Linked DNA regions of Lepisosteus oculatus. The protein of the gene in region 1 purifies or fractionates together with the protein of each later gene. This does not show direct contact. Links are inferred from orthologs where the notes say so. Each region holds a gene or a part of one and is shown on either strand. Other genes may lie near its edges.

Evidence for each region. The genes of interacting proteins can lie anywhere in the genome.
Region 2: the proteins of nepro (region 1) and rpp25l purify together in Homo sapiens (affinity purification with mass spectrometry; 3 studies listed by BioGRID and IntAct, with this or other methods). This does not show direct contact. The link is inferred for Lepisosteus oculatus from reciprocal best matches to the Homo sapiens genes RMP64 and RPP25L.
Region 3: the proteins of nepro (region 1) and rpp30 purify together in Homo sapiens (affinity purification with mass spectrometry; 3 studies listed by BioGRID and IntAct, counting the BioPlex papers as one, with this or other methods). This does not show direct contact. The link is inferred for Lepisosteus oculatus from reciprocal best matches to the Homo sapiens genes RMP64 and RPP30.

What each region holds. Positions count from the first base shown.
Region 1 is NC_090708.1:33,935,147-33,942,992, reverse strand, and holds the start of nepro (nucleolus and neural progenitor protein), read right to left. Parts: upstream 3,106-7,846; 5' UTR 2,824-3,105; intron 1-2,823. UniProt on the Homo sapiens protein: May play a role in cortex development as part of the Notch signaling pathway. Downstream of Notch may repress the expression of proneural genes and inhibit neuronal differentiation thereby maintaining neural progenitors.
Region 2 is NC_090705.1:20,166,681-20,174,320, forward strand, and holds the start of rpp25l (ribonuclease P protein subunit p25-like protein), read right to left. Parts: upstream 3,086-7,640; 5' UTR 2,956-3,085; intron 1,130-2,955; 5' UTR 1,112-1,129; coding exon 521-1,111; 3' UTR 1-520. Other genes in the region: dctn3 (dynactin subunit 3), read right to left, coding at 5,045-5,134, 5,874-5,933, 7,426-7,484. UniProt on the Homo sapiens protein: May be a component of ribonuclease P or MRP.
Region 3 is NC_090699.1:21,222,232-21,230,222, forward strand, and holds the start of rpp30 (ribonuclease P protein subunit p30), read right to left. Parts: upstream 3,086-7,991; 5' UTR 3,035-3,085; coding exon 2,953-3,034; intron 2,619-2,952; coding exon 2,563-2,618; intron 2,473-2,562; coding exon 2,416-2,472; intron 1,940-2,415; coding exon 1,874-1,939; intron 1,782-1,873; coding exon 1,713-1,781; intron 1,327-1,712; coding exon 1,237-1,326; intron 891-1,236; coding exon 774-890; intron 634-773; coding exon 604-633; intron 1-603. Other genes in the region: kif20bb (kinesin-like protein KIF20B), read left to right, coding at 5,103-5,216, 5,765-5,854, 5,995-6,114, 6,257-6,395, 6,497-6,681, 6,757-6,820, 7,017-7,223, 7,355-7,466 and 1 more. UniProt on the Homo sapiens protein: Component of ribonuclease P, a ribonucleoprotein complex that generates mature tRNA molecules by cleaving their 5'-ends. Also a component of the MRP ribonuclease complex, which cleaves pre-rRNA sequences.

The DNA of each region.
Region 1 (7,846 bases):
GGATTCAGAAGGCAGTAAACGAAGAGACAGGCTGGGGTCAGGATCTGAGAAAGCGTAAAACAGGCCAAGGTACAAAATCGAGTGGCTAAAGCAGTAGTTGGAAAAGCGGGGTCGAGGTCCAGGGGAGAAGTCACAGTACGGCAAAGGCGTAGTTAGAAGGTAAGCTCCGGGAGAGAATCTCTATCGTGAGCAATGACCGGGGGACAGATGAGGGTTTAAGTAGAGGACTGATTGACGCGTGCACGTTTGGTATGGGGAGAGCTCGTGGGAATGTGGGAGCGCTTGCCTGCCTGAGGGAAATTCGTGACAGAACCAACAGAATCAATCTGGACTCATAGAAAAACAAGAATGCCACCGAGACACCTGCACCCCCTCCTGGACCACTCTGGTATCAACACCCCCAAACCCATCCATACCAGCTAACAAGACTCAGAATCGGTGCAACCCTCCAACCTGGACAAAGAGCAGGATGGGACGAGAACCTGCACCACACTACATACACAAGTTTGTATTTTTTGGCTGAAGATGAAAATGTCTAAAATAGATTGTTTTGGTTCTAGCAAACAATAATAATAGTTGTTAAAATCCAAACACACATAATGAGATCACTCTCTGTCAGTATGTGTAACATTCTGGGTCTGGGCTCCTCTGTATTTGGGCTAAAGAGAGTTCAACAACATTATTAGTGCACTGACATCATAATCTGACAAGAGACATTGTTTAGGGGAGATTTGACGACCCACTGTCCCCCTGGTATCGTGAAGCTCATTGTCCTTTAGCTTACCAAAACCAGAATGTAAAAACTTGGTTTCAGCAGTGCGGCTGTTGTATTTGAAATGCTACTGAGCCATGAAGAAGACCCACCTATCCCAGTGTGTTACCTGTAGTGTTATCTTAAAAAATCATAAAAAATAAATAAATAAAGGGGCCACAGCCACAGTAAGGTTGTATAAGGTTAGGTCTGGTGTGTAAAACAGTTGGTTTCAGCAGTGTGTCTGTTGTACTTGAAATGCTATTGAGTCATGAAGAAGACCCACCTATCCCAGTGTATTACCTGTTGTCACGATCGCTAACCCCTCCTCTTAAGGGTACTCTAGCCCTGCCTTGTTCCCTTCCCTTGTCTGCACCTGTTCCCTATTCCCACTCCCCCTTAAAAGCCAGACTCGGACCTCACTCCTGGTTCCTCATTGATTTCTGCATCATGAGAGCTCGGGGTCCTGCTGCGTCTGGCACCGTTATGGTTTTAATCTTCTGTTCCCGATTCCCCTTCCTTCACCAGTCCCGACCCGGTTCATGTTTTAACTCCGTGGATGGATCCCCTGGCCTTGGTCTCTACCCTTTGTCTCGGATTAATCTTTTGGATTTCGCCTTGTTTGTTCGCCCCGGATTCACTCCCCCCTGGACACCAGCACTGCATGGACATGACCCACCGTCTCCAGACCCTCTCCCGCATGACTTTTTCCCTAGTGTATCTTCACTATTCTGGATCGCGTCGTATGCATAGGGCCCGGAAGGAACTGCTACGTGACACCTGTAGTGTTATCTTCAAAAAATAAAGGTTCCAAAACCCAAAACAAAGCTGGGAAAAGTCAGAGGACCTGCTTAGTGTGCAAAACACTTACTTGCAGCATTGTGGGTGCTGTGGTTTAAATGCTATTGGTTTGTGAACAGAATACCCCTATCCCAGTGCATTGTGCCACATTCAATAAAAGCAGGAGAAAAAGAGATTCAGAACACAAAGCTGTGTCAGTGTTCTGTGTAAAAAGTCGGTTTGAACGTCATGGGAGCTGTTTTTAATAAGCTGCCGAGTAAAGAATATTTTAATCTTCCTGCTACCAGTAGTATTGTGAATATAGTTGACCCTTACCTGAATGAAAACAGGACGTAAGGGAAGGGTTTCAGAAACCAAACAAAGCTTTATTCCAGTGCTTACAGTCTGAGTAATTGGAGACTGCGCTATTCTGTTGCCTATGGTCATATACGGGTTTTTCGCACGAAGCCGTATTGAACAGTATTTCTCGCGTTGTGAACTTGTGTATACAGCGGTCCCCCGTGTTCCAGTGTGTAATAACGCATTGATGAAAAACGATAAAAAAGATAATTAGCTCACTGATAGTTTGATGTAGAGGCTGTGGAAATATCCACAAGTCGTGGTCTTTAAAATGCATTTGGTTTGAAGGCGTTCTGTGCTTCCATTGCGAAGATATGGACAAAAGAATATAAGTGCTTGGTCAAAACAAATGTCATAAAAATGAAAAAGTGAAGGCTGAGAAAGCATTCACAATGTATTCAAGAACTTCAAGCTAACTACCCCGGTGTAAAGTGTAGACTAAAACAACTTTTATGAAGAGGACCTATATGTTCCACAAAGAAACAAGATCTAATATTTTAAAACCGAAGAAAATAATACACAGGCTTACTTACACCCATTTCTAAAAACACATCCCGGTTACGATTTACAAATTATTTTAGAAGCATATATCCATTATATTAAACTAGCAGTAGAAAATTGCTTTTTATTGCGCATTATTTTGCATGAAATGCATTAGAAATCGCGTTGCTAATTATATGATTTTTAATACCTGAAACAAGTATTCGTACCCTATAAAATACCATTTTACTAAAGCTAATCATGCTGCATGATTTCACAATTAACAGTTTGAGTAATTTACTAAATATTAACATTGTGACTTCAAAAGAATAGAAAAATGCATGCACAGTATTATTTTTCTGAATATTAACGATGTTAAATTTGTCTTATTTATAAAGGACTGAAAGCAAAGAAAACTCAAGATCTTCTTTTTGAAAGACATTAAATCTTACCTCGTAAAACGTCATATCAGCCTTTACTTTCATTTGCACAGTATGCACAGTGCATTCAGCCATTCCACTTCGTCATTTGTTTTCCAGGAAACGTTTCTCTGTACTTTGGATTTAAATTTTACCAAAGGTCCCTCTCGCGTCAAGGAGTGGTATTGTTCTTATTACGGATTACTAAAGGTCTATAGCTGGCTGTTGTCTCACGTTTGGTGAAACTGATTAAACATCTGACTACTCTCTTGCATTTTTAAAGCGGCTGTATTGTGTGGTCAGAATTTACAAGAACCGTTTTTTACATTTTTTTTTCTGTATAGACTGTATAGAACCGACATTCTCGCTGCATGTATTTAAACAGATAACTTCGATTTGAAGTGTACAAACGACCGTAACTTTATTTAATGTTAGTGAAAAGACTTTCATAAGCACATACTATATGTACACACATAGAACATACAAAAAGTACATGAACCTTTACTCTGATTCGTTAAAAAAACGTATCTATACATTGTTAATGTTTTTTGTATTAATGTGATAAACACATGGAGCTTGATTTTATTTTGTTACAACATCGTTGACTTCACTCGAACTTTTAATACCATAATGAGCACTTCACTTATTTCTGCAAACTACTGAGATCACCTGAGACCCTGTAAGCAGGGATGGCAGTGATATTTGGGGTAGTCACTTAATCTTCAACAAATCTTTGAAGATCAAAGACACAAGTTTAGAGAGGTTTAGCATACAAGTATACTGTATATAAAGTAATACCATAGTGAATACATTTTATTTGCTTAGAAGACACTCTTATCCACTTAAAGCTGGTGATGCACTTCATCCACAACAAAGCACACACTAGAATGATAGCCATGATGCAGTTGCAGCCCTACAATACAGCAGATCCAAGAAAGAAGCAATAAATTGCTTCACCAGTTAAACTGAGGGGAAACTTCATGTTGGCAAGATTTATTAAGCCAAGAGTGAAATTTAACCAATACAGTTTAAAACCATTATAGTAGTTCAGGTGGGTAGCTGCGTCATTTCATTGTAGGTTTCATTTCACACCTTTCTTCACACCTATCCTGACTTCACACTACCTGACTGGCCACTCTTTCTATCCCCCGCTCCCACCTCCAGCCCTTCCTCTGAGCTTTTGTTCTCCTATGCTTACTGATCTGTCTGTCTCACACCTGAAGAAGGCTCCATGGCCGATAATTTGTGTTTTCTTTCTTCCATTTTCAGCATGGAATAAACCTATTATTTGTTCCTTAAAACCATTATGTTTAGATGCTGGTTCAGAAGAAAAAGTGCCTCTGGTCCATCAAGAAACTTTTACAACAGCAACCTTAAAACGTCCATTCCAGTATTTATTAGCTCCAACATTCCTTAGCATCATTACAAAAGAGATATGTCCATTTGTTATTGCAGTAATATTTCTGTCACATGAAGAAATATGTGGTGATGTGAAAATACAGTAGAAATGTTAAGTTCTGTAATATGGCATCCAAACAATCCATTGAAAAAATGTTTTCTGTCTGTACATTTTTAGAAAACAAATATGCATAATAAGGTTTTACTTTTTTCTAGCTAAAAATATACATGGGATTTTGACAACCGCTGCAGAGGATTACTGTCAATTGACAAGAGATATCATCATCTATGGTGCTGGAGGAGACATGAACTTTCATTATCTGGTTGACCTGGCAACTTCTCTGACTTCCAATGGTACTTTGCTTCTGGGTTATGTGTGAATCTTAACCTTGTCTACAGAGTCAACACCTATAAAGCTGTTTTTAATATATCACTTTATTAACCCTTAACAATTTCTTGCATTAGGAATGATCTTTTCGCATACCCCAGCTTGCTCTCCATGAGACACACAGACACACAGATAGGGAAAGAGCCTGGGGTCAGAGCGCAGGGTCTGCCATTGTACGGCGCCCCTGGAGCAGTTGTGGTAAGATTCAATGATAGTCTTGATATTAACTTTTCCAATTGCTTAGTATGCATTTGAAAATTGCAATTCAAAATGTACAGTACTAATTTTACACAATTTATTTTGCTCAAGACACATACATACTTAACACAAATAAAAATAAATTATGATTTTCTTGTAACATTATCTATGATTAAAAATGAATTTTCAGATTGTTGGAGGCTTTAAAGGAAATAAGGATTAAGAACTGATTAATGCATCTTAAAAAGCACACTGCTGCCCATGTGAATACAATAGTGACAGACAAATTTACAGTTTTGGAGACAATGTCCAAAACGCTTTTCAAAAAGTATCATTTAGCTTTGTATGGATATACAGAGAGGAATGATTGTTTAAGATGAGAAACACCTAACAAGGAATCAATGAGATTGTACTGGTAAATGTGATGGATTAGCTACTGTAACACATCATATGGGCTGTTTATAACCTATCTTGAGTGCATGTAATCATAACATTGCCAGATAAGAAGCTTGTTTTATTCTCCCCAAAACCTGAATTCCAGTTCCTTTTTGCACATTTACAGTATTTCTTCTTACACCATCCATTTAATTCAACCGGTTAAACAACTGCTCACTTCTTCACCAAAGTGTATTGGGGGAGCTGTGCATGAACAACATGTTTATTGCCTATATGTAAAGTGCTTTGGGATTGCAGGGAATGAAAAGAGTTATACAAAAGTATCATCAGTTATTACTACTACTACTACTATCATTACTACTACCTTTAAACATTGGACAAGGTTAAGGACAAATCCAGCCACAGTCCGTAATTCATGACTATAAGGTACAATTTGCAAAGGACACCATTGAGAGGATATCTATATAGGATCCATCTATTTTCTATTTTCTATTCGCTTTATCATGTACCTGGTCATGGGGGAGCCACGGACTATCCTGGAATGCAACGGGTGCAAGGCAGGATATGCCCTAGATGGGACACCAGTCTATTTCAGGGCACATACAGACAGAAACATACACCCACTCACACCAGGGCCAGTTTTCCCAGAAACCCACCAGTATGTCTTTGGAGTGTGGGAGTGTTACAGTATGTCCCGGTGTGGTCCATGTTTTTTTGTTTTGATGCCATCTTCCACAGTTCCTGATTTTGGTTGTTCTCCTTCCCCATTGGTCCGTTAATTTATCCACTTTGCCATCATACGTAATCAGCTTCTCAACCTATCAGAACTCAGCATATTTAGTATTTAACTTGTAGGTTTTCAGAACGAAGGGGCCTTTCGCTTGACTTCAGTTCTGCTCAGCTCAGCTTTGTTTTGCTATGGCTTTGTTTCTCTCCATTTTAGTTCATTCTGCTTCGTGTGTGTTTCCGTATAGCTTCGGCTTTGTTGGTTTGTGTTAGTTTCCATGTACCTTTGTTTGTTTGTATTATCTTTACTTCGCCATTACCTTGCCCAAACATATTATATCAACCTCTGTGTTCTTTTGTACCCTATTCCTAGTCTACTCTCATTTTCCCTTGTTTGTATTCGTAGTTCACTTGTGTATTTGTGTGAACTTTTGTGTAAAGGGTTAGTTTAGGTTTACGGGTACATTCTGCACATGTAGTTGGTCTGCGTATTAGAAACACTAGTTTAGGATGGGTGAGTGCCTTTTGTCTTGTATGGTTTTGGGTAGTTAGTAAAGATTAGCCAGGGCGTTAGAAGATGCCTAATACCGAGTGTTTCGGGTTTGTTTTGGTAGATAGGTCAGCTTTCCCTCACTTTATTAGACAGCTCTTTTTTGTTTGTTATTTTCTTTTCTTTGGCACCGCTCTAGTTGCCTTTCCCTGTCTGTTTTTGTGTCCTTATACGTACCAGTCACTTATTCACATTAAAACAAATCCCTTTTGCACCAAACCTGTTGTCACGCTTCCTAAGTCCCTCACGAGAAACCCCCCTGCATCCAAACCCATCCTAAATGTTACACCCCTTTACCCCTAGACACTTGGAGTTGTAACAGGGAGGAAACTGGAGCACCCAGAAGAAACCCACGTGAACACGGAAAGAATATACAAACTATGTACACATGCCTAGAATTCAACCCAGAGCTCCAGCATTGTGCGGCAGCAATATTAATCACTGCGCCACCGTGCTGCCCCAGGAGGATATTTATGAAAATTATTATTTTTATGAAGAAATTAAATGTGATGTTTACTGTGCTTAAAAAACAATAAAATCTGATCTATGTCAATTTATTTATTTATTGTAATTTAAGAGTCAATTTTAATGTCAGAAACAGTCTTGGAAAATACAAATACAAAAGACAATCCTGCTCACACACACGGAATCTCCTACTCCCTCACTTGAAATTTGGAGCCTCCTGCTTCTTCACTCGAAATCTGGAACTCCAGCTCCTCAGCTGTCACAAACTCCACAAAGGGTATGGGTTATTTCCCTTGAATCCTTGAACTTCTACTGTAAGTCCACTTCCAACTGCTGACGTTACCACCTGACCACCAGGCTGGGTTCACACACACAACACTCATCTAAGGCTCCAGTGCTTCAGTCACACACTGAGACTCAATACTGTCATGAACACCACACTACCTCTCTGATCTCGTGGTCACACTCTCATGTCCCATGTCATGTCCCTGTGCAGCTCGCAACTGCCGGAACACATTTTCTTCGAGCCCAGCCATAACTGTCTTTACTCTTTTTTTCGAACACTCTTGTCACTCCTTCCAGTGCATCTCCCTTGCCCCGTCTTATACCACTCAATACCAATACCCTAGTCCTGGGGTTCTTCACCTGGGGGTCATGACCCCGTATTCCCAGGGGGGTCGCTCAGTAGGTAACAGAGACAGAATCAACCAAAACAGGTGGTAAACAGGACACATACACAGATTCAGGGTGGTTACACCTGCATGGTTAACACTACAGTATTTACATTAGCAGGGTGACTTAGTGGTCACTCTGCGAGCCCAAAGATCATTCCCCGGCTACAACTCCCAGCCTGCTCTGTGGTGCGTCCGGCGAGGGTGCTACATTAATTCCTATTGGATGGGCCATGACTGCATTTATATTTGTAGCACTTTTTT
Region 2 (7,640 bases), on another chromosome or scaffold:
GAAAACTTTATTAATTGCATTGATGCATCCATGTGACAAGTTACAACATTAATATGTTTTATTGGAAATATCTCTGCTAATAAAATACTCAGAAGTTTTTCATAATTCTTCTTTTAATCCAGTGAAAAAATAAGTGTTCACCTGAGTTTGTATTTATATAATTTATTGCATCACTTGAATTAACTTAAAACATTCTTATAAATTCCTTCTTCTCTGTTCAACATATAAAAATAAGGCAGAAGACAAATTTCATCCGTCTACACTTTTAACTCGTCCATTTAAACTTGTAAATGGGAAAGTAGTCCATGAAGATCTAAGGTACACAGAGACAGATCTTCTGCTTCTCAAACAAAACATGTAATATTTCCTTCGAAGTTCAGATGCCCACTAATTCAAGTTCCTGCTGATCTTTGTCCTCGCTATCGACATATCCTTCCTCTAGAGGAACTGGTGAAGATTTCCTCCCATGAACCTCTTTGGCTAGGAACTTGGCGTCTTCAGGATAGTTGTCCGGATGCCCTCATTCGTGGTGAGTGCCCCTCCAACTTGGCGCTTTCCCCGACACCTCGCTGCGCCGCCCCCGAGCTCCCGAGGAGGGTCGACCCCCTTTCCCTCTGCCGCTGCCCCCGCCTCTCTTCCTGCGCGGCTCCTGCGCAGCCCCCTCCTCTCTTGCGGCCTGGGCCCACAGGGTGTCAAAGCAGCCGGGCGGCTGGTACCCTGCCTGGGTCGCGTCCAGGGGGTCTTTGGAGAGCAGGACCCAGACGGCGGGAACGTTCTTGTGCACGGTGAGGCCGTCCAGGCCCGCTGCCGGTTCCAGCGGCTCCCACAGCTCCTGCGTGCGGCTGTAGAGCAGCCGCGTGACCTGGTGCAGCCCGCGCACGCGCCGCTTCAGGATTTCCACACAGGTGATGGTCTTGGCCACGCTCTTGCCCGAGCCGGTGAACACAATGTGCCGCGTGGCCTCGCTCTCCATGCGCCCCACCGCGAAGCCCATCAGGTTGCGGATCTTGCTGCCATCCTTGACCTTCATCTCAGGTGTGCCGGCGGGCAGCCCAGGGAAGGGACAGGGGCAGGGCTGCTCCATCGTCTTCGCTTTGCGGTAATTCTCCATGCCTGGGCGGCCTCACAACTGCACAGACAATAAAGGAGCAGGGCTGTCAGTGCCTTTCCTTTTCAGCACAATTATATTCACAATGATCTATTATTGGAGACCATCACTGTTTCTTGCTTTCAGGAAGGTCTTGCATGCTTATGTTCCCAATTAGAACATCTGATCCTCCTTTTCCGAAATTCATCCTTGTTGTAACAAATTAATTTTCTCTATTAATATGGAATAAAGCTACTGAAGACACTAAATTGTACGCAGGACATATGTGAAAAGTTTAGGGAAGGATCAAAAACGGCAGTAAAAACTCTGTGAAAGTTGGGAGTGTTGTTTCTGACCCATTTGCTTTTCTCCCTTCCTTGATCTTTAAACTTCCACTGTCGTCTGTGCTAGAGCAAAGCTGAAACACGTGCAGCGTAACAGTTAAATATAAAGCAAAATTTCCCATGTTTAAAACCTAACTTAATAGCAAAACAGAATTTAGATAGTAGCTTAGATATTTAAAGGCTAGTGAAGAATTAGAAATGTCTGCGTTTTTAATCATCCAGAAGAACCCAAACAGCAGTAAATATAGGTGTGGACCAACTTCAACCGCAACTGAATGCAGCCCAACCTGGGTGAAGTGTGGCAGCCATTACTTCACTATCTGAAATAATAATAATAATAATAATTGCTTACACTTATATAGCGCTTTTCTGGACACTCCACTCAAAGCGCTTTACAGGTAATGGGGACTCCCCTCCACCACCACCAATGTGCAGCATCCACCTGGATGATGCGACGGCAGCCATAGTGCGCCAGAACGCTCACCACACATCAGCTATCAGTGGGGAGGAGAGCAGAGTAAATGTAGCCAATTAAGGAGGACATTTAAACAGACCAGATAGTGCAACTCCCGAGTGAAATTTAACCAGGACACTAGGGTAACACTCCTATTTTTACCAGTAGTGCCATTACATAAAGACCAAATAGTACAGACAACGTTTTTGGCACTCATTGCAAAATTTGTTAAAGAAGTTATTTTCATCATGACGGTCATATCAACAACTCTTATTTCACAGATCTACACTCTTGACTAAAAGCACTGTTAAGTTGCAATTCAATAACTGAACACCCTTTTTCGTGTTTCACTCTTAGTTATTACTTTTAACTCAAATTTGTATCTATTTTGGTCAAGGTATTTAAAAGATACAGCAGTGTCAAAAAACAGTATGTGTATCACCTCGTTTGATTAAAGCAATATAACATTCAAGTGATGCTATGTACACGATAGGTGTGTATATTTATTAAGAGTAAACACATTTATTATTGAGTTGACGTGCATATCGGACTATAACAATAATATTAATAGTGAATGAATTAAGTGTTTGGATAAAGCGTTTAACATGACATAAAGGAGTGGAGCGTTTATTCGGTAAGTGCATTTCTTTTTTTCCATGTCCGCAACAGTCACGCGGTAAGTGTGAAACTAGAAGTGCACAAAATACAGATCCCCTTTGTGGACAACTGGCATCCGTACAATATATTTTTTAATAAAACAAAATTAAGTGACTGCAGTGGGCGTCACCTAGAGGGCAACAGAGATATGCGGAGCATTTCATTTCATAACTTATTTAGTCGTGTGTTGTGCTGATATAAAATAACGCAGCACGACCCTAAGGTCGCAACACTTTTCTGTAACTAATTGTTCAGCTATAAATTACAGATCTATCCCTCACTACTGATACAATAGCCTGCAGCCCAGTCTGATGTTCGGAACAAGATTATTGAAGCACTTAAAGCGCGTAAAAAGTACAGCAATCAAATCACACTTTGGACTTATTGTACTGGAGATGTAGATTTATACTCACACAGGCAGGGATCCTCGCTGTAGTTAAAAAAAACACAAAAAATAGTACTTTTTTTACTGTCATTTAATTCGAACAGCACACTACAGTAAGGCTCATCACCATTGCCGAAAAATACTTTGTTAAGCGTCAAGCAGTAACAGCTGCTGTAAAGCGTTGGAAAATACCAACGTTGCTGCTGGGAATTGTAGTTCGCACCCCTTTCCGTCGCGGCGCAGGTGTTGGTGTTCGGGCGTTTACTACTAAGTGGTTACTCAGTTCTTGTGAATACTGTGCCTGCTGCTCTTCCCGTCTGCTAAACTCTAAATTTTCAGCGCTAATTTAAATGGTCTGTTTGCTTCTTTCGACTACTCAATCTCGAGTTTCCAAACACCACACTTCATGGGTAGTGTGTCCCTCATCTGCATTATAGGAGTTAAGGCTTTCAACTTCCTTACCCTTATTTCTGTTTAAACTGCTCTTAATATTTAATCAACTACTAAGGAACTGATTCGTGTGAGGATGGCATTGCATCATACACCTCCACAATGAACTTTTTTTCTTTTCTGCTAAGGTCATATTGGTTGCATTTCAATACAAAAGCATTAAAAAAATCCTTACATTTGTTTAGCACTCTTCTGGCCACTCCACTCAAAGCGCTTTACAGGTAGGGACTCCCCTCCACCACCACCAATCCACCTGCATAATGTGATGGCAGCCACAGTGCACCAGTCCACCCATCACACATCAGCTATCAGTGGGGAGGTGAACAAAGTGATGAAGCAAATTCATTGATGGGGATTATTAGGAGGACATGATTGGTAAAGGTCAATGAGAAATTTGGCCAGGATGCCAGGGTAAGCAGGGTAACACTCTTACTCTTTTTGAGAAGCGCACTGGGATTTTTAATGACCACAGAGGTCAGGACATCGGTTTTACGTCTCATCCAAAAGACAGCACCTTTTTAAATTAAATTAGGCTCTTTTATGAGTCTTACTCAACAATAAACATGACAAACAAGAAACATTTGATAACCAATTATCTTCATACATTTACACCTTCATCAAAATACAATTTCAATATTACTATATAATAATTTTGGAGGTACACCAGTTATGGAAGACTGACTGGAGTACACAAGTGGAAATGGAAACATTTTCTATTGAAAACAGAAAGTGCCTTTTTACACACAAATATTCTAGGGCTTTAGAACAAGCTTCCCAACCATGTGGAAACTGATGTGGGATGCTTCACAAATGAGAAGTCAATAACCTTACTATTACTATTTACCAAATGAGTAAGATTAACCAATTTGTCTTTAACTTTTTTATATTTTGACAAATTAGGAAACTCTTATTAAATTAGGATAATTAACTGTGTGTGGCATAAATGAGAATACCAATTACTCATCTCTTTAGATAGTGAAAGAAAACAAAAACGGCATGTGTAGTTTAATAATTTAAGTTTATTGTGTTCTTTTTATAAACACAGGTATCTCTCATTTCTTGTAGAGACCCTTTTTTCATTTTAATATTTCAAAACTGTAACATTACAGAACATGGAAGAAAGTAAGCTCCTATGTGACTGTAAAGTGTTGATAAGGACTAACAAGCACTGAAGGTCCAGAGCAGAAGTTGGAGGTTTTGGTGGCAGACAATGCGATTACTTCATGAGCCCTCCATGAAAATCACCTGGTCCACAAACCCTCTCTATGCCCCATGGAGACCATGGGAAACATAACATTTGGATAGGCTCTGCAAAAACAACCTACACCTTATATCGTAAGTAGCGTGATATTCACTTTGTGCCAGTAGGATAAATGGGATGGAAGTTATAACCTTAAAGTATTTGGTACTACCAGTGCGTTCCAAGTTGGATATTGTATGTTTGTTTAAACACTGCAGCTGCAATGTCTATAATGTCAAAGGGTTCTTTAAGTCAATCCATCTTGGATACACTGTGTAGGGAAGAGGGGTTTCTGGGACTTCTGAGTTACAGGAAGGGAGGGAGAAGGGTGATCTGAGGCATGTGGTGAAACAGGTAAGAGATTCCATTGGCGATCCATCTCTCCTCTGAAGTCAGGGTGTGTCTGGCATCTTCCAGGCCAAGGACTTCACTCCACTACTGGCTTGACCTGACTGGCATTTTCAAGCTGCCTCAACATCTCGTCCCATTGAGAAAATTGTTTAGACAGCAGGAACATCTGGCATGAAGTCAAGGAGCATAACTGTGGACCAGTATGTCTTAGTTATATTATATGTAGGGCTATGGAAATGACAACTGGAACATCTAAATGGAAATGGGATTCTAGTTGGCAGTCAGCATGGATTTAGAATAGCCTGCTTAATTAGTTAGTTCTCTGAACAAGCAACAACAGTAAAAAATCCAGAGCACACAATCTGGTATATTAAGATTTTCAGTAGGCTACTGATACAGTTCGTCATAAAAGACTAATCCTAAAATTCCGGGTATTTAAGATTATATATGTCTGGATTTAAAACTGGAAAATGGATATAAAAAAGAGCATCAGATAAAAGGGTAAATACAGTGGGAGGATGGAACTAGTTGAGTGCCACAATGGTCTGTAACAAGAACACTGTTCTTCCTTTATATCAATGATCTACGATAAATCGTTTAAAATGCCTTACACTTACTACACTTATCATTAAGGTTAACCACATAACTGATGTGTTATGAATTATTACAACACAACTGGAATGTACTGGCGATTTGTATTATCCAAAGAAATTCACTGTTTTCCTATTCTTGTTTCCCATTCGTCAATTAACAGAAACTGAAAGTTGGCTTAGTCTGCTTCACATCTGGCTGACTTGCAGATGTTAATACAAAATGCGCACCACACTGTTGATACACATTTTCCATGTGATGACAATTTGAGACATAAAGTAGTAGGACTAGCAGCAGTAGTGTCAGAAGGATACCATCTTGTTGTAATCTTCAAACTGCTTCTTCACTTCCTCAGATAGAGTTTCACACTGGTCCTGCGGAGAAGAAAAAAACGACTGAGGTTTTGAGGTAAAACAAATGATATTCCAGGATTACCAAAGAGAAGGGATTTAATTTTGTAGTAGGAATGTTGAAAACAGTAATTTTAATATTACTTTAATTCCAAAAGACAGTAAAATTCACTCAGATTATTATTGCCCACTGTACACCACTAGAGGGCCCTCTAGCCAGCCCCTCTCTCATTAGTTCAGCGTGAGAATGTATATCAGCACCACCTGGGTCTTCATTAGAAACCCTATATAACATTCGCACACAATCTCCCTGTGTTTGCATCAGAGCCACGGCACCAGTCGCCAGACTGCGGACGTCCGTTTCCACTCTCTTATGGAGATCTCAACCATCATGTCGAAATTCGTACACTTTTATCTTTGCTTGAAGGCTACAAGAACGCCACTTAGTGTACACGTCGGCTCTCTTGGCTAGAGGTATCGACCAGAGACCAGAGAAAAGGCAGCCACAAAACCCACACTGTTAAACACCTAAACCATTTACAATCTACAGTAGCAAGTGTTTCCTTTTCCTGGCAGGACTGCTGCCCTTAAGGCTATGAGTACACTTAAATTTTTTTAATAATTGACACTACAGTGGAAAGTGATGAAAGTACTGACTTTATACTGACAAAATGGGCGATAACTGTTTCTATGCAGCATTCAAAGGGATCTCTGACCTTAACCATGATGCCGCTGCAGCTACTACTAAATTCTGGAGGCTTTCGCTGCAAAGAGCATAATGTTACTATGGATTTGGCTTTGTTGAATTTTATTTCAATTAACGCTTATTGATGCAAAGCAATGTGACCCTTGTGTTTTCTGGGATCAATTATTTATGACCAGTATGGTATGACTTTGCTCTATTCAATTCTATTATAATTACACCATATCATTTTCAGAAGTATTTTAAGCAAGACAATCTATAATTTATGCTCTTACTGCATATGGTGTTGCTGTTCCGTTATCATTGTGTGTTAACACATCTGGAGGATACTGTATAGAATAAATGCGTGTGCATGAATACACAGAGAAAAATACATTTAATCTTCAAGCCTTTATCGATTGGCCACCCCAATATTTTTACACAAATTTGTCATTGGCTTTATTTCACCTTACCCTTGAAAATGAATAAATTCATCTTGCTGTCTTACAAGAAGTATTAGATATGTAAGCAATTTTATCTGGTTAATTGCCCTGTGAAGGTTAGACTATCACTGAAAAGGAATTGAGTGAGAAATAGTTCATTTTGCCTTTGAAAAGCAATCATGATAGTTCGTGAATGAAGACACACTGTATCTAAGTTAAATACAAAAAACTTTAAATACTTTCTTCATAGGGGTAATGTGAGCCTATTCTTTCCACTTTCCTAAGAAAGAGGATTACCTGCTGTTGAACCACTTTATTACAGAGAAAGAAATCAGAGCCCAGATTGATAGACAGCAAGAGAGAGATAGAGTTAGCGGCAAGGAGCTCATACCTGCTGTTTGATGTGTATCTGTGACAGGCGTTGCAGCTTGGTGGCGTGGTCAGGGACAGCTGTGTAGAACACAGGCATGTTACAGAACACTCCCAGAGGGGACAACACAGGCAACAGTGACAGAGCAACCTCTCAGAAACCAGCCAGGGTAAGATCCACAAAGACCTCTTACAAAACACATGGGGTTCTCCTCTAACACTGTACAAAGCAAGAAG
Region 3 (7,991 bases), on another chromosome or scaffold:
ATCTCCTAGAGATGGCATTATAAAAGCCTTGTCAAGAGCGGCCTGGCATTTAACATAACAGACTGGTATGGAAACCTGGGGCTGAAAAGCAAAACCAAACTGTCCAGAATTGTGAAAATGGCAGGAAAAATAATTGGGAAACAGCCGCCCCAGCTCAACGAATTACGTCATAACGCAGTTCTCAGAACGGCAAGGAAAGTCACAGCTGATTCCACACACCCACTCCTTTCTCAGCTCATAATCCTCCCATCAGGGAGACGCCACAGGGGACCAAAATCACATAAAATCATTTATAAGAAGTCCTTTGTCCCCTCTGTTATATCAATGAAGGTATGTAAATGTATCCCCCCCTCTACCTATTTATTTATTCAACTATTTATGTATTACATATTGTTGTTTGTGATTTCATGTGACTTTATGTGATTCTTATGTTTTGCTTGTGTTTGTACTTCTGTGGGAGAAGCCAAAGGCAAATAAAGTGTCTATCTATAAATGTCAATGTGTGACGGAATGTGCATTTAACAGTATTTTATAGCATTTGAGTTAAAAATGCCAGTAGTTCCTGAAATTGTAATAGGAAGAGAAATGAATTATAGAAAATACCTTTTCTGCTCCACTGGATATTATGACATTCTGCAACCAAAAAAAAAGTAAAAAGTAAAGCAATTAGCTTGTCACCACTTGTCTTTGTTAGGCAAACATGCATATTTTAAAATTTGTGCTCACAAAGACACAGCATTTTGACATATTTCAATGCTCCCTGAAATAAATACCTTTCCTTTGCAAGTCTGCATCAGGCTGAGTGCATTTGAGATTGTATATCTTCTCATGGTAGAGTCTTTAATAGCGGGGGTGTAAGTGATCTCAAAGAACACTCCCCTGTCTATTGCCTGGAAAGCAAAAACATATTTTAACCAAACGTAAGGCTGTAATTTGCATGTGCTATATTGACAAATACCCTAGTCCAGAATCCATTGAATTAATAACTGAAATATTTAAAAATGCTTAAATTTAAAAAACTTGAAATTTTGTCATTTTCTCCCATCTTGCCTTTTCCAACTAGTACTTCCAATTGACTCCTAGCCAAATTATTTTTTATCCAATATACAGTATCAATGTATTCAAAATAGAGATAATCCAAAGTTGGAATGTTTTTAATTAATCAGGCACACACAGATTTGAAAACAAAAATTCTGCAATTATCTAAATTGACAAGGTACGGTATAATGTACTTACACCATTTACGGGAGGTCTTTTGAAAAAGAAAGGCTGCTTTTCCGTGACAGTGATACAGATTATGTCAACATCAAATGTCATGCAGGCTGCCTGTTAACACACGAATATCACGAGTAGGTACATTTCTGACAATGGCTGTCAGGCTACCAAAATCCAAATGATGCAAAGAGGGGTGTTATTATATCTGTCAACATTTGTAGTATCCTAAAAACCATATCCACATATCAGCAAAAAAATAATATCAAGTGGCAAATTGCTGCAGTAAATACAATACTTTTAACTCTGGACATTCCAGACCGACACTCTAATCAAGAATATGTTTACAATTGACTTTAGAAAATGGATACCTATCTATTTTAATATTATTAGTAAAACATCGTGTTAAGAATAATTTGAAAGCAGTACTACTTATTTAGTATTCTTCTCCTTTTCTTTTTGTGATTTAGAAGCAACAAAAGAGCTAAATTCCTACATACATGAAACAGCTTCTCTGTTTTAGGGACCACAGCCACAAGGTCATAATACTTCAAATCTGCAGAAGGCCTCTAGGAAAAGAAGGAAAAAAAAATAAGATCACATAATATTATAAATGCACTGTCATTTATAACACATTCCACAGCAAAAATGTTGTACTTACAAAGTGAGATGCATCAGAAACTCCGAGTGTTAACCTGTTCAACACCTTAATTGGCCTGGATTTCCCCTAGGAAGAAAAGAAGCATACATTTAGTTTATAAACTCTTCAGTCTGTCTTGGAGAGAAATTAGTAGTGCAAATGTGCTGCGCTACTATTTTAACGAAGGAGCAGCATTTATATATTTGAAATTGGCAAAATACCCATGACTAAAACTGGAAAGATGAAGAACTCTGGCTTGAGAACTCTATTCAGTGACGTTTATAAGCTGTTTAGCTGTTACCCCACAGGTGTCCCAGGCCATCAGATGTAGACAAGTCAATGTTAAGTGTCTACTGTGCTCCAGATTCTGAACCAAACCCATCATCCAGCTCAGCCTTGTCAGGCTCAAAAGCTCCACAAAGTAAAACACAAAGTTGTACTACAAAAGAGCTGACTTTACTGACATCATATTTAGCCATCTCAGTTCAAGTACACAGAATGACAGCACGCTTATGCCAGTTTAATAAATGCAGAAAAGCACCACAACAACATCGTTACAGTACCTGTACAACAGGGAGTTGTCTGAACAGTTCATCAACAGAAGCAGGTTTCCTTATTTCCTGCAAACCAAACATGATTTCAGCAATGGCATACATTTAGCAAATATTTTGATGGTGTATGATTGACATACAATGTACCCCGATTGTTACCTGCTTCTTTGGTTGTAAATCAATCAGATGATTTATTGCCACCGTGGAATAACCAACTGAAAAGACAGAAATAAAAAAAAAAGATGGGAAAGGGTTTGAGCCTAGTTTTAAATTCGGATAATAGCAAGAAGTGTCCCAGCTTTAATATAGGGACTGTTAAAATTAGCACGTTTTAGGAGAGAAAATTAGAATAAGCAAACAGCTCACTGTAAATAAGCTTTATAAATACAAAGCGAAGTACAGTTGTAATTTTGACTTAAGTAAAAAAGCCTCACTTTGACGATGTATGCATCCAACTGTCTGTATCTGTAAATCAAACATGTGCTCTCACCATGTACTTTTTGGGAGTTACTCGTTATCTATAACTTTTTCTTTGAAAACAATACTTACGATGTGCTGCAGTTTCTATAATATCCCGAAGCTGTTTTTTATCATCAGTGTAGTTTATGTTTAAATCTGCAAAAACAGCCATGTTGGTTCCACGTGAGACACACAGAGCTCATGTCAAGGGTTAAAGTGATTGTCCGCACCGGTGCTGCATGGGAAATGTAGTAAAGGCTAAGTAATATACCGTCCATCTTAAAGAAATTAGATAAACATTTAGTGTATTTCTGAATATGCTGTGTGTACAGTTCTCGTTGTTTTGTAAGAGTTAAGAGATTGTTTTTACGCTCATATGTATTATTTGTTATCTAAACACTGTTAAACACAGTATAATTGAATTTAACATAAATGTTGCATCTCCAGTTAATCATATTGGGGACTTTACTGGAGGTTTTTTTCGAATACGCATGATTTATAAAGCTGTATTTCATAGCCATACAAATTCCCATTGGAAAAAAAAGAAAAACAATTTCGTCTTTCCAGTTCCGCTTCCTTTCCCATGACCCTCTTCGCTAGTGACGCCTGATTGGTTGATTTTAAAAATAAGAACCGCGATCATTTATGAAGAACGGAGTGCTGTGGTTTGGATAAAAGGTTTCGGGGGGGGAAAAAAAAAATCATTGTCTGTGTAAGTTTGGTGATATTTCTGGTTGTATTTCAGAAAGTATTCATGTTTGTGCATAAATGGTTGTTGCTATGATTTGCGACTTTTTAAATTGTTTGCACTTATTTTTTTCCGTTCCAAGTAATAACAACGTGAGGTAATCCGAAGTAGTTTAGTTCTAACCCCTAAAAAACCAATAGGGTTTATACAACGCAATTACGTTTTAGTTTCAAGTTTTTTTAAATGTAAAAGTGGTTTAGGAGATTGCGGTGTATAGGTGTTTCTGGGGAGATGCAATTTATTGGTATTGTTTATCATGTGAGCTGCTTGTTTGGCTGATTGTCAAGTGTCATTTTGTCTGATGGGTGTTTTCCTGCTTGATTAATAAATTCTTTAATAGTTAAAGATGTATCGGTCATTCAATTCCACGAAAACTAGGTCCTAGTTAGATGGGTGGGATATTTGCCAAGTTTAGATTTACTGTACTCCTTGTGTTTGATTTAAGGGCGTGGATAGGAAAAAAAAGTATATTAATCTGTAAACCAGAGTCTGGGACTCGGAAAATCTGACATCTAATGGAGAAAATAGGAGAACACTTCCTTCCTATGAGCAGTAAATTTCTCTACTGTCTGCCTAAACAGGTCCAAAATTAATAACATTATTCTGAGTTACAGGTGAAGCAGAAACGTGTAATGCAATCACAGAGAGATAATTAATATAAAACTTTAAAAAGCTATAAGAAACAAGTGTAAACATTTGGGGAAAATATTAGATTATTTATTTTCACTAATAATAATAATCAATGAGTATTTTGCATAGATTTACTGTAGATCTGCAGGAGGCTACACATGAAAGAATGTGTATGTTAATACAGATTTGTCTTTGTTATCAAGACTTGGAGAAATATCAATATCCAAAATATCAAGCATTGTAGAAATAAAAGTGCGCAGAATTTATGAGTATTTAACAAATTGTAGAATTTAAATATTGAAGTTATGTCCAACTTTACGGAGCCTTCTTAATACCTGATTTAGAATATTGTTTAGTTTAGTCAGCATACCAAAGAAAGATTCTTGACCTCGAGTTCAAAGCACACCTGTGAGAATAATTCCTGTTCACAGGGAATTGTCATATGCAGAGAGGTTAAAGGAATACAATTTCTCAATGCTAGAATAGAGATTGGTTAATTCATATGTAGCCCTAAAAGTTAGTCCAAGGGAGTACTTCAGATAAATGTTATTAAATATTATGACCCAATACCCTGTTTTGATAACGGGAACGTGGGGTCATAATTGGAAACGAAAAAAGGAATTGTTTTAGGATGGAAAATAGTAATTGTGTTGGCATTACACAAAATGTTGTGGATATCACTCTTGGGCATCCCAGCCATATATTTGAAACCGAAACCTTGGGCTCCATCGGTTAGGTAAAATTTCACATTCACCGAGTTGCCAAATACGAAAAGAGAGAGAGTCTCCACTATTTTGCAACCTTATAATTTTGTCTAATTTTGAAACTAATGTCTGTTTTTTGCACTGCATATTTTTATAGCATGATGGAATCCTGCTTTAATGACAGATTGGAAAAAATAGAAGCTGTGAGTATAGAGGATTTGAAAAAAGATCTTTCTGGAGAGTTTTTGTCCATGTCTTCTGTTACTTCTGAGGTAAGCTGCTTTTAAAAGAACTGATTTAATTCATTTTAAATTGCTGTTGACCTAAAGTTTAAGAAGGTGTTATATGATGCATCTCTATCACATGCTAAGCATGGTTAATCGGTAATTGTCACGTTAGCTAAACAGCCCTGTGCCCCAGCGTAGGGGTAACAGACAAGTTAGCCCTGTAACGTAGCCTTTTTCTAAACAGATTTGCAATCAAAAGTAGTATATTACATTTTTACAGAAATGGGAGGACATGATTGTTCCAAATTTCTACATTTAAATATAGTGCCATATATTTCATAGCATAATAAGCTTCCTTTGGTGATGTGTAAGCTGTTTGTTTTTTGCTGGTAACTGCCCTTTATTTTAAAATTTTGGTTTCCAATGCATTCGATTACTTGTTTATACCTCTTGATTGTGTATGTTTTGGCATTCATTTGTAGTTGAGGTTGTATGCCTTTTGAGGATCTCTGAAAGCTCAGAGTGTCCTCCACTCAGGAAGTTCCACTGGTGCGTTAAGCACCGTTCTTAAAATGTGCATATATGCCTTCCAGGAGTCCAGCTTACAGGAGAGAGAACACTTGCAGGTTTACCTTCGTATCAGACCTTTCACACAAGCTGAAATGGACAGCGACGAATCACAGGTAAGCGGTAAAAAGGCAGAGCGAAGGGTGTCCAGTTCTTAACATGAGGGTCTCGCAATGTGAGCAGTAACCGTCTGTAACGTGTCAAATCTTGTAATTCTAGATTTAATTTCTCTTCTCTTCTTTCTTTAAACGTGCAGGAGTGCGTTAGCATTGAGAATCCAGATAAGGTGTTCCTCAAGGCCCCAAGGAGCTCTTTATCATCTCGGCTCAGTGATAAGTCACTTCCTCAAACAGCCCAGCGGTTTCAGTTTTCACAGGTGAGTTGTCGAACCCAGATCTAGCACATTATCCCATGAAACATTCTCATCTAGATGTAAGGGATGTGACCAGAAATTAATGTTTCATGATTATTTGTTATACTGTCATGCTCATTGTTTTTTCTATGTTCACTTTCTTCAGGTTTATGGTCCAGAAGCAACACAGAAGGAGGTTTTTGATGGCACAGTCAAGTCTTTAGTTAAAGACTTTCTTCAAGGGGGAAACTCCCTTGTTTTTACTTATGGAGTAACCAATGCTGGAAAGACCTTCACCTTTTTAGGTGTGATTTTCTACGTTCTTTTGTGCTATTTCTGTTATTACAAACCATCCATGGTTGCAAATGTAGCTTAGTAACTAATAATAAGATTTTTGGTTTTACAGGGCCCGAAAACAATAGTGGCCTTCTGCCAAGATCTTTGAATATGATATTCAACAACATTCAAGATAAAATCTATACAGAAATGGACATTAAACCACAGAGATGCAGAGAATACATGAGGCTGAACAAAGAGCAACTCACGAAGGAAATCGCAAACAAAAAGACCATTCTGCGATTAGCAAAAGAGGTAATCTTTCGAAATTACTACCTTTTCGTATTCCCTGTGCTTCATACTGTTACTTATCTAAATTTATCTATGCAGTGTGATTTACAGAAAAGCATGATTTCTCAATTGAATTCGACCAGCAAGTCAGCCATATTTGAAGGTATGTATTCACGTTCAAACTTTTAAGGCCTATTAAAGGATTTTTTTAATATATATATATAAGTCAAACAAGGGTTTTGCCCAATACTACTTCTTGAAGAAGCTAGCTATGTGGAATATTTGCCAATCAACTCGACACTTGCATTTGTTGTTGAAATCGTTTTTTCCTCTTGGGTTTGTATTCTGTTTTTTCACAGGCACTGCTGTGAACAACACAGAAGAATTGGATTCAGAAAGCTTCACTTTGGATATGAACAGTCACTCCAAATACTCGGTCTGGGTGTCTTTTTGTGAAATCTATAATGAAAACATTTATGACTTGCTTGAAACGATCCCAAATAATTCCATGAAGAGAAGTACTCTTCGGCTCTCACAAGATGTGAAAGGGAATCCTTTTGTAAAAGGTATTTCTGTTTTCTTTTTCTTTGGGCTTCACTGTACTGGTGGGGATGTTGGACAAGAACTCTTTAAGGTGTATATGTGATAGGATTTATGAACTGACATCTTAAAGACCTGAGTCTTTCTACGTTTTTAGATCTCAAGTGGGTTCAGGTGAGTGATGCAGATGAGGCATATAAAGTTCTAAAATTGGGGAAGAAACACCAGAGCTTTTCCTGCACAAAGCTGAATCATCTGTCCAGCAGAAGGTAATGCTATTTAAAAAAAACGTAATTCTAACTGCTTGTTTTTTTTGGGGGGGGGGTTTGGGACATTGCATTATTTCCTTCCACATTCTGTTATGTAGAGTGTTTGCTAATGGAAAAATTATACACAGTTTTGGGAATCTTCACTAGTATTTGATTCTGGACTCGTAACCGAAACTTGTGGGTTCAGATGCTTGGTGGGACACTGCTTTTATCTTTTAAGAAGGGTGCAGTTGGAGTAAATACTAGCCATGGAAATGGATCTAAATAAGTATTTCTTTAGATGAAATCAGCCAATTAATGGTAATAATGGAAATGTTGTTTTTGGAACACTCTTATAAGGGACTGAACTCTTCCAATTGTTTTTGTCTTTAAAGCCACAGCATTTTCTCCATCAGAATCTTACGGATTGAAGATCTTGGTATACCTCGTGTACAAAATATCAGCGAGTAAGTGTCGCTTTTGCTACTGATTTTTTTTTTTGCTTTGTTGATTTTTAAATGCAAAGTTTGACCTTCTTTTTTTTCT